Linked DNA regions of Coturnix japonica. The protein of the gene in region 1 purifies or fractionates together with the protein of each later gene. This does not show direct contact. Links are inferred from orthologs where the notes say so. Each region holds a gene or a part of one and is shown on either strand. Other genes may lie near its edges.

Region 1 (3,644 bases):
CCCAGAGCCTTCTCTTCTCTAGACTGAAAAAGGAAGACAGCTTTCTGCATTCACAGCAGCAGTTAATGCTCTCCCCACAACCTTACAGTTTCTTGCAACCACTTCCGACAGATTCTCAACTGTCTGCATTTCTCCTGACTCTCAATAACTCTTGCTAAAATCACTCTGCCTTAGATATAACGTTACAGCCAGTGAATCCACAAATGTTTTCTTGTATACTTTATTAAATCTGCCTGAATGCCTCTTTCAGGGTTTTGCAGTGCCCAGATTGAATTAGAGCCTCATGTGAATGCACATGAAGGTGGCACATGAATTCAGAAGCATTCCTCCAAAATTCTCAGAAGACAATGCTTTCCACAAGCTCTTGTTGCAAAATCTAACAGACCTACAAGCCTAAATGCATTCAAACATTAATAATTGCTTTCTGTGGTAGAGATGTATTACATGGTAGGAGGCATATAACTGAAAAGAACTAAAGAGATGGGCACTCAGTCTCGCTGAACATGTACTCCCCATCTATAGTGATCACGTTATCCATGTAGTGGGTCAAAAAGCCCCGAAGATGCAAGATACCCACACAACTGCAGCAGTGAAACCAGCATGGAAAGGGCTCATAGACACTATACATCATTACTTCGTGGTACTACTCTGGCTCTTTGTGAATCAGCAGCAGAGCTCAGCAAACACCAGCAGAACAAAATGTGCCATGTTTGCCTGGTTCATACACCCCAAGAAGTGACTGAAACCAGAAAGACTTGAATGGTCACAGCTCCTGCTAATATGATATCACGGGAGCATGCATTTGGAGAGGTTCCATCCAGTATTAAAGTTAAGGGTTAGGCTGGGACAGGGGACATTAGAACTACACCTTCCAATTGCAGAGAGAACATGGCACTTCCAAAGCAGCCTGGTAAGGAGCAGTTAAGCAGCAGGAGAGAATTTAGTTGTCATCTGAGATCAGAAAAACGTTCCTAAGGTGAAAATCAGCCAATAAGAAGTGGAGGTGATGGTGTTAAAGCTAATTTTTGCTTGACAAGAATTGTAGGACAGAAGCAGTCGTTCTAGTTTGGGCAGATGCATTGCAACAGAAGGCTCTGTTGGGCTTGGCTAGACAAAAATCTCTCATGTCTGAAAGCATCTGCCATGTTGGCCAAACTTCAGGATGTGCAGGCTTAAAGCTTAATATCAGTGGTAGTATCTCTTTTACCTGAGCTGTTTACCATTTCAGTTACCATATCTCCTTTATATTCTACAGTATTTAATGTCATGTTTATTTTCATCTTCAACATTTCAGGTTATTTCTTTGTTTTCTGCAACTGTTGAGCCTAAAGGTCTTACAAACACTCTGCTGACACCAAAATCTTACAGTTCTTCAGGATTAATACACATAAAGGCAAGTTCTAACCAGTATCCTGCAAATGTTTAATAGAGTTCACGGGTTCCTGGGTTGCAGAATTAAAAAATCAATGGCTATAAACGAATCCAAGTTCTCCCTGAACTTCTATCTCTGTGATTTAAATTAGCACACCAATTAGACTTTGTTCTGTAACAAAAAATCAAGGAGGCAGCTTCCTTCATGAAGGCAAGCAAGTTGCAGGTACTTAAGACTTTCAGTTATCCAATGTCCAGACACCATTGCAATGCAGACTCTGATGTACTAGAAAGAGAAGTCCAAAAAAAAATAAATAGGTCAGATATAAAAAGGAATCAGTAGATACTTCAGGATAGAGATTTTTTTTTCTTATATTACTTTAAGATTCATGAGAGAGTTTGGAAATTATCGACATCATTATGATTTAGAATTTCAATTCACAGCTTCTCTCTCCATTTCCATCTGTTACGGTGTCTGCAACAGGAGACAATTCCTTCCCTTCACAAGAAACGTGCAAGAATTTGTGGTGAGAAATTGTTTGTAACAGCAAGTAGAAAAATCATGACACAAAATCTAGAATAAATGAGAAATTACACCTTCGACTGTAAGCTTGTTACAGCAGACCATGCAGTAACATGTGACAGTCCTGGCAGGAAATGGACTGTTACTCATGCTTTACACATACTTGCTGTAACAAGAAACAGGCAAAAAGCTTCCCCTTCCCCACCAAAGGAACTGACAATTGCAGCTTTAACTCATCAGCTTGTAACTGGGAACACAAGGTTTATATGATTTTCAAAATCATTATGGATAAGTCATGCTAGGAGCTGGCAGAGCTTGTCCCGTCTTTTAGGGATGCTGTTCTCATAATTAAAGGGGAAGAAAAGCACAAAAGCAGATTAAGAGGGATAGATTAATTGTGGTAGAATTAATCATTAGGATAAGAAAACAGAACTAGAGCCAGCATCACATATACCCCAAAATGACAACAACAGCTATGCAAGAAATGAACATGAGCCATCTTCCAAACCATCGTTAAGCAACAGCCATCCAGAGCAAAACTGAGACATAAGTTTTATAAGGAAAGCCACAATACTGTACTTTTATCTCCTGGTAAAATAGATCGGTAAAATCGGTCCCTCTTCTTTTTTTCTTCTGGGTTGGGTGGCAAAGGTTTTGAGCCATGGTTTAAAGTCCCGGTGTCTTTGCTTCCTGATCCAATCATAGTGCTGGTATTTCTCATCGGAGGAGCAGGTGGTTTGTCTTCTGTTTCAACTCCATTGTTAGACATCTTCAGATGTAGAGGCCGTTACTAGCAAAGGAGGAAGAAAAAGAAGTAAGAAGCTTTGTGGTTTGTTGAGTTAGAGTTGGGTTTTTTTTGTAAATTAGAATCACATGCTGTCAAATAAACCACACACAGGTATTTTCAGACAAACGTGCAGCCTCACACCAATGCAAAGCGTCAGCACACATTCCACTTGAGATCCCAATCATTTCTATTATATTGAAGAGTTTCAGTTACTAATTATCACAAAAAGCTTGTTTGCGGGGTACAGCCAGACCTCAAGTATAACATGAAGCAGAAGTGTAGGGTGAGGGTGAGCAGAAAAAGCAGCAAATCCCAGGTAGCAGAGAGCAGGGATATCTGACAGCAGCCAACATAATCTTACAACCATTGAGGCCGGAAGACTCTAAGACCATCAAGTCCAACTGCCAACCCATTTCCACTATGTCCACTAACCACATATCCACAGTTCTTGAACTCCTCCAAGAACAGCGAATCCACCATCTATGACAAATACTTTGTCAGAAATACCTTCTTCCAAATAAGACCTCTCGGATCCATTCTAGCTCTGCCAAAATCTGCCTCAACAGGTTTGCATCAACCTCCAGCTCAGGCAGTAACATGATGCACAGGGACTGAAGTTTGCAATCAAAGAGCATGGATACAGCCACTCAGGCTCCATCACTGAAAATGCATTGAAATGCACCAGAGGGAGATGGGCAGAAAGCATCAGTGTTGCATCCGTGTCACCTCCATGTCAAGTCCTGCAGTGTTTGCTGGGCCCCGGCCTTCCTGCCATAGCAGCATACTTGAAGCACAATTCAGACAGCCAGAACACTGATCCTCAATATACACATTAATCTCTAAGTAAATAAACCCTGCTGTGAGGATTTAAAGACGGAAGCTTGTGAACTGGGTAATAGATTCCTCTGCAGCAACCAGCTTGTTCCACCCAAATGAGATCAGCCTGACTTCAGAAGTCAGGTT
Region 2 (4,183 bases), on another chromosome or scaffold:
AGCAACGAATGTTCCCAAATGGAGTTAGCACCATTATTATACAGTGTTTCAACCATCTGAAATACAAAATATATACAGGCAGGAGTGAAGAACTTAGCTGCTAGCTGCACAGATTGACTCATCAGAGAGCTGTGAGTATTGTGAACCCAGCAGCAGGATGGCACTGACTCATATTCTGTATAGCAGTGCCTAAAACCCACTGGGGTGTCAAAGCCCAGCTGATGTTTAGGAGACTGTTGTGTGGAATGTAATATGAACCCCCTTAAAATTCTCTCTCCTTCCACATGAACATCTCTACCAAAACCAATGCTGAATATTTAGGTTGAAGCAGATATATATATACATATATAGAAACACCACAAAGAAATTCTAGCTTTAGTAAAGGAGGAGATGTCATTGGTCTTTACCTGCAGCAGTGTTGGAGGCCATGGTGTGTGCTTGAGATGTCTCACTTGAGAGATATGACGCCCCAAACTCCGGTGAACGCTACAGCACTCATCGCAAATCAGAATTCCCCTGTTTATGGATGCCCAACAAGGATCTGAAAAAAGAAGACATTTATTACAACCACAGAAGGCAAGGCAGCTTCTTATTTCAGAGCGGAAAATGACTTTGTGTTTTAGAACTCAGTGTTTTAACTTGAGATTTACTGCTCTCAGAAGCAAATCCAGTTTCTGTCAGTGACAGAAGAGGCTCCGTGGGCCAAGAACCCTGCAGGAAGGAAAGTGAGCAGCAAGACATTGTCAGAGCTGGCACAGTGCAGGAGGAAAAAGGAGTTCAAAATCTCTTCTGTTTTGGAAAACCTACTTAATTCCAAATCCAGAGCTGGGTTTAAGGCTGAATGAATACAACACAAGCCTGTATCTGATGAGAGATCTTCTGCATCGTGTCAGAATACATCTAAGCAATTGTGCATCACACAAATATCCTGCTGTGACCCGTGCAATAAATATAGTGAATCCATGAAACGTGAGATCTGATCACTGATGTGGTTTCTGAGCAGAGCTGATGCTGTGTGTGCTGAAGGCAACGCAGGCAAACCCACGGCTCACAAGGGAAGGCAGCATCTACTCGTAGATGATAACTATCACATAGCCCAGAGCCAAACTGAAGTGCATGGTGTAGGAAAAAAAAAACCTAATCTAATTTAAGAAACAAAGTAATGAGGAGTTTGAGTGCTTGTTATTAAACCATTCCACTATTTTTACAACTTTCACTTCTAAGAGAGAAAAACAGAACAACAAAACAAGCTTTGTTAACCCCAACCCAACGAGCCAAGGCTGGAGGCATCCTTCAAGACTAACGAGCCTCATCCCTTTTTATTACAGACATCATCATACACTCATTCATACATCGTGATCTTCTGAAAGCCACTGTGTTCCTGGTTTCAGTCACGAGCTGCTCGTTCAATATGCACCGTAACCAACCCCGTTCAGCTACAGCAAAGCAAGCTCCTGTTTATCTGATCATTCCACAGCAGAATGGAAGCTTCAGCATCCCTCTGAAGAGCAAAGCAGAAGCCTGGCTGGTAATCTGAGCTCCCACACAAGGCTGGTCAAACAGCAGCAGGAGCTCAGCGCTGCAACCTGCTTTCAAAGTCACGGTGGTTTAATCAGAAGTGGAGTTTTAATTGAGGTACATGAAGATTTGTGGGCTCCCATTCAGTTCAGACGTGGCTCACTGCCAGTTACTTGCTCTCAAGTAACGGATGGGGACCGGAAAGGGAACAATATTGGTTATGACAGAGGGCTGTCAGGTTATAGGAAGACTTATTTCAGGTTTAAGTTAAATGTCTGCGTTGGAGTTTAGTCTGTTTCTAAAGGCAATACAGGTACAAACGCAACGCAAATACACTTACACTGATGGCGGAACACAAGAAATACTCAAAAGATCTCTCAAGTTTGCTTTCAGGAACATGGCAGAGCGCTTCAAAACAGGAAGCGTGCAAGGACAGGCGTGCTCTGCGGGTACGAGAAGTGAGCTCCTGCCCCAGCAGCATAGGAAGTGTAACAGAAAAGAGCATGTCAAACTCTCCTTGAGCACAGCACGACCACTTGTGGTCCTAAAGAAGCAAAGAGAAGTTGGGGGAAACCCCAGAAGACAACCTGGCTCAAATGAAGAAGATCCTACCAGCCCTACAAACTCTGCTTTCAATCAAAGAAGGGGTTTGTTCAGGTTTTTGGGTTGTTTTGTGAAGAAAGGACTAAGCTTTTGTTACACACATGGCTAAACCAGCAGGCTTCTCTATGAGCATCAGATCTGACGCTGTCATGCAGCACCCAACAACACACAGAGCTGTGACCCTGCTGTGTGCTGGCTGCCCTGTTGTACTGTGTCCAGGTGTAGAGCCCTCAGTACAAAAATGACATGGAGATTTTGTTAAGGGTCCAGAGGAGGGTCAGGAAGATGATCAGGGGGCTGGAGCACCTCCCCTATGAGGACAGGCTGAGGGAGTTGGGTTTGTTCACCCAAAACAAAAACCAGTCTCTAACACAGGAACACCAGCACTATAAATAAGCAGAAATAGGGACTTTAGACCCTCATTTTATACCTTTATTCCCCACACCCCCTGTCAGCACAGCGCCCATCCACACAGCGGCACCTGCCCTCCTCTCCTCAGTGCAGGGGGGTGGGGATGCGGACGGGCCCTGCCGCCCCCTCCTCTCGTCTTTCCCCTTTATCCCCCTTCTCCCCTCGGTTCCTCCGGCCTTACCCTGCGCACTGCAGTCCGCACACACCTCGCTGCTCCTCAGCCGCTTCGACATCGCTGTTCGGATCGGGACCGGCCGCTTCCTGCCGCGCTCAAGGGGCCGCCTCAGCCCCCGCCGGGCGGCCGAGCCGAGCGCGTAGTGCGCATGCGTACGTCAGCACCGCACGCTACGCCGCCGCTCGCTATTCACGAAGCATTTTACGCTAACGTGAGAAGCCAGGCGGAGCTGCGCTGCCGTAGCCGTCGTATCGCCCTAACTTAAAATGGCGAATAGAGACACTGCCCTCACTCGCAATGGCTGCGTGTCTTCCGTATTTCCGCGGTAGAGCATGCGGGCGAAACCAACGCTGCCCAGAGGCGGGGGGGGATGGTGAGAACAGGGCGGCTCGTCAGTGTTACGGCTCAGAGGTTCCCCCCCTTGAGAGGTAAAGCGATGGAGGAGCCGGCGGGCAGGACGCCCTGTATATAAATGGGGGGAGAGCGGGGAATTGAGACTTCCGCTTGTGTGAGGGTCTGTGGGCTGCAGCGGGGAGAGAACGGGGCCCTATTGAACGCAGCTGCCGTGCTGTGGGACGGCCCTACCGCTGCCCTGGAGGGAAAGGAAGGGGCCAAGGGACGGGGGTGAGGAGACGGCTTGGGTGGGAAAGGGGCTGGGGTGTGAGGTGGGGCCTAAGGATGGGGGGAGCAGGGCACTGGGAGCTGGAGACTGAGGGATAAGGGTGGGGAATAGGAGTGAGGGTCTTAGGGAGGGCACCAGGAATGGGGACAGAGGGGGGTGGGAGCAGAGCCCTAAGGCTGAGGGACCTGGGGGGGAAGGGGGAAGAAAGAGGGGGGGGAAGGCAGAAGCTGAGGTGTAAAAGGGACCCCAGATATAGGAGAATAAAGGGGACTCCAAAAACAAGGGCCTGAGGAAACGGGGGGGGGCAGGAGTGGGGGATTCAAGGAGAGCTATAGGTATGTGGGTCTGAGAGAGGGGATGGCCATAGGGATGAGGGGTGGGGGGCAGAAGCTGAAGCCTAAAGGGGATTAAAGGGGAGCAGAGACTTGAGGGAGGCCATAGGGATGGTGGTTTGGGGGGGGGGGGGGGGGGGGGGGGGGGGGGGGGGGGGGGGGGGGGGGGGGGGGGATAGAGGTCTGAGGGGGTCAGTAGGAGCAGCCCCCCCCCCCAGGGTGTGGGATTTTGCATGGGGTGCCCCTAAACAAAGCAGGGGGTGGTGAGGGCAGGCTGCCTGCTTCCCCTGCTCCTGCAGGTGCGTGGCATGATGAGTTCCCCCGGCAGGGCCAGCGCTGCGTACCCCCTGCATGTCCTGGTTTGGAATAATGATTACCAGCGGTTGGATGAAGAGCTGCAAGAACAGGTAACTGCTGCCTTCCTGGGCAGAGAGAGCCTTGGCTGTGCCCCGGGTCTGTGCCAGGCTGGTGGGACTGTTTTCCTTCTGCACCTGTCTGTTTGTGGGTTTGAGAGTGAGGTAA

The links. Proteins that work in one complex are often made in the same cells at the same time.
Region 2: the proteins of PAK1 (region 1) and GIT2 purify together in Homo sapiens (affinity purification with mass spectrometry; 5 studies listed by BioGRID and IntAct, with this or other methods). This does not show direct contact. The link is inferred for Coturnix japonica from reciprocal best matches to the Homo sapiens genes PAK1 and GIT2.

What each region holds. Positions count from the first base shown.
Region 1 is NC_029516.1:172,845,864-172,849,507, reverse strand, and holds part of PAK1 (serine/threonine-protein kinase PAK 1), read right to left. Parts: intron 2,685-3,644; 5' UTR 2,664-2,684; coding exon 2,474-2,663; intron 1-2,473. UniProt on the Homo sapiens protein: Protein kinase involved in intracellular signaling pathways downstream of integrins and receptor-type kinases that plays an important role in cytoskeleton dynamics, in cell adhesion, migration, proliferation, apoptosis, mitosis, and in vesicle-mediated transport processes.
Region 2 is NC_029530.1:6,002,635-6,006,817, forward strand, and holds the start of GIT2 (ARF GTPase-activating protein GIT2), read right to left. Parts: upstream 2,863-4,183; 5' UTR 2,766-2,862; coding exon 2,714-2,765; intron 542-2,713; coding exon 408-541; intron 57-407; coding exon 1-56. Other genes in the region: ANKRD13A (ankyrin repeat domain-containing protein 13A), read left to right, coding at 3,180-3,331, 3,990-4,068. UniProt on the Homo sapiens protein: GTPase-activating protein for ADP ribosylation factor family members, including ARF1.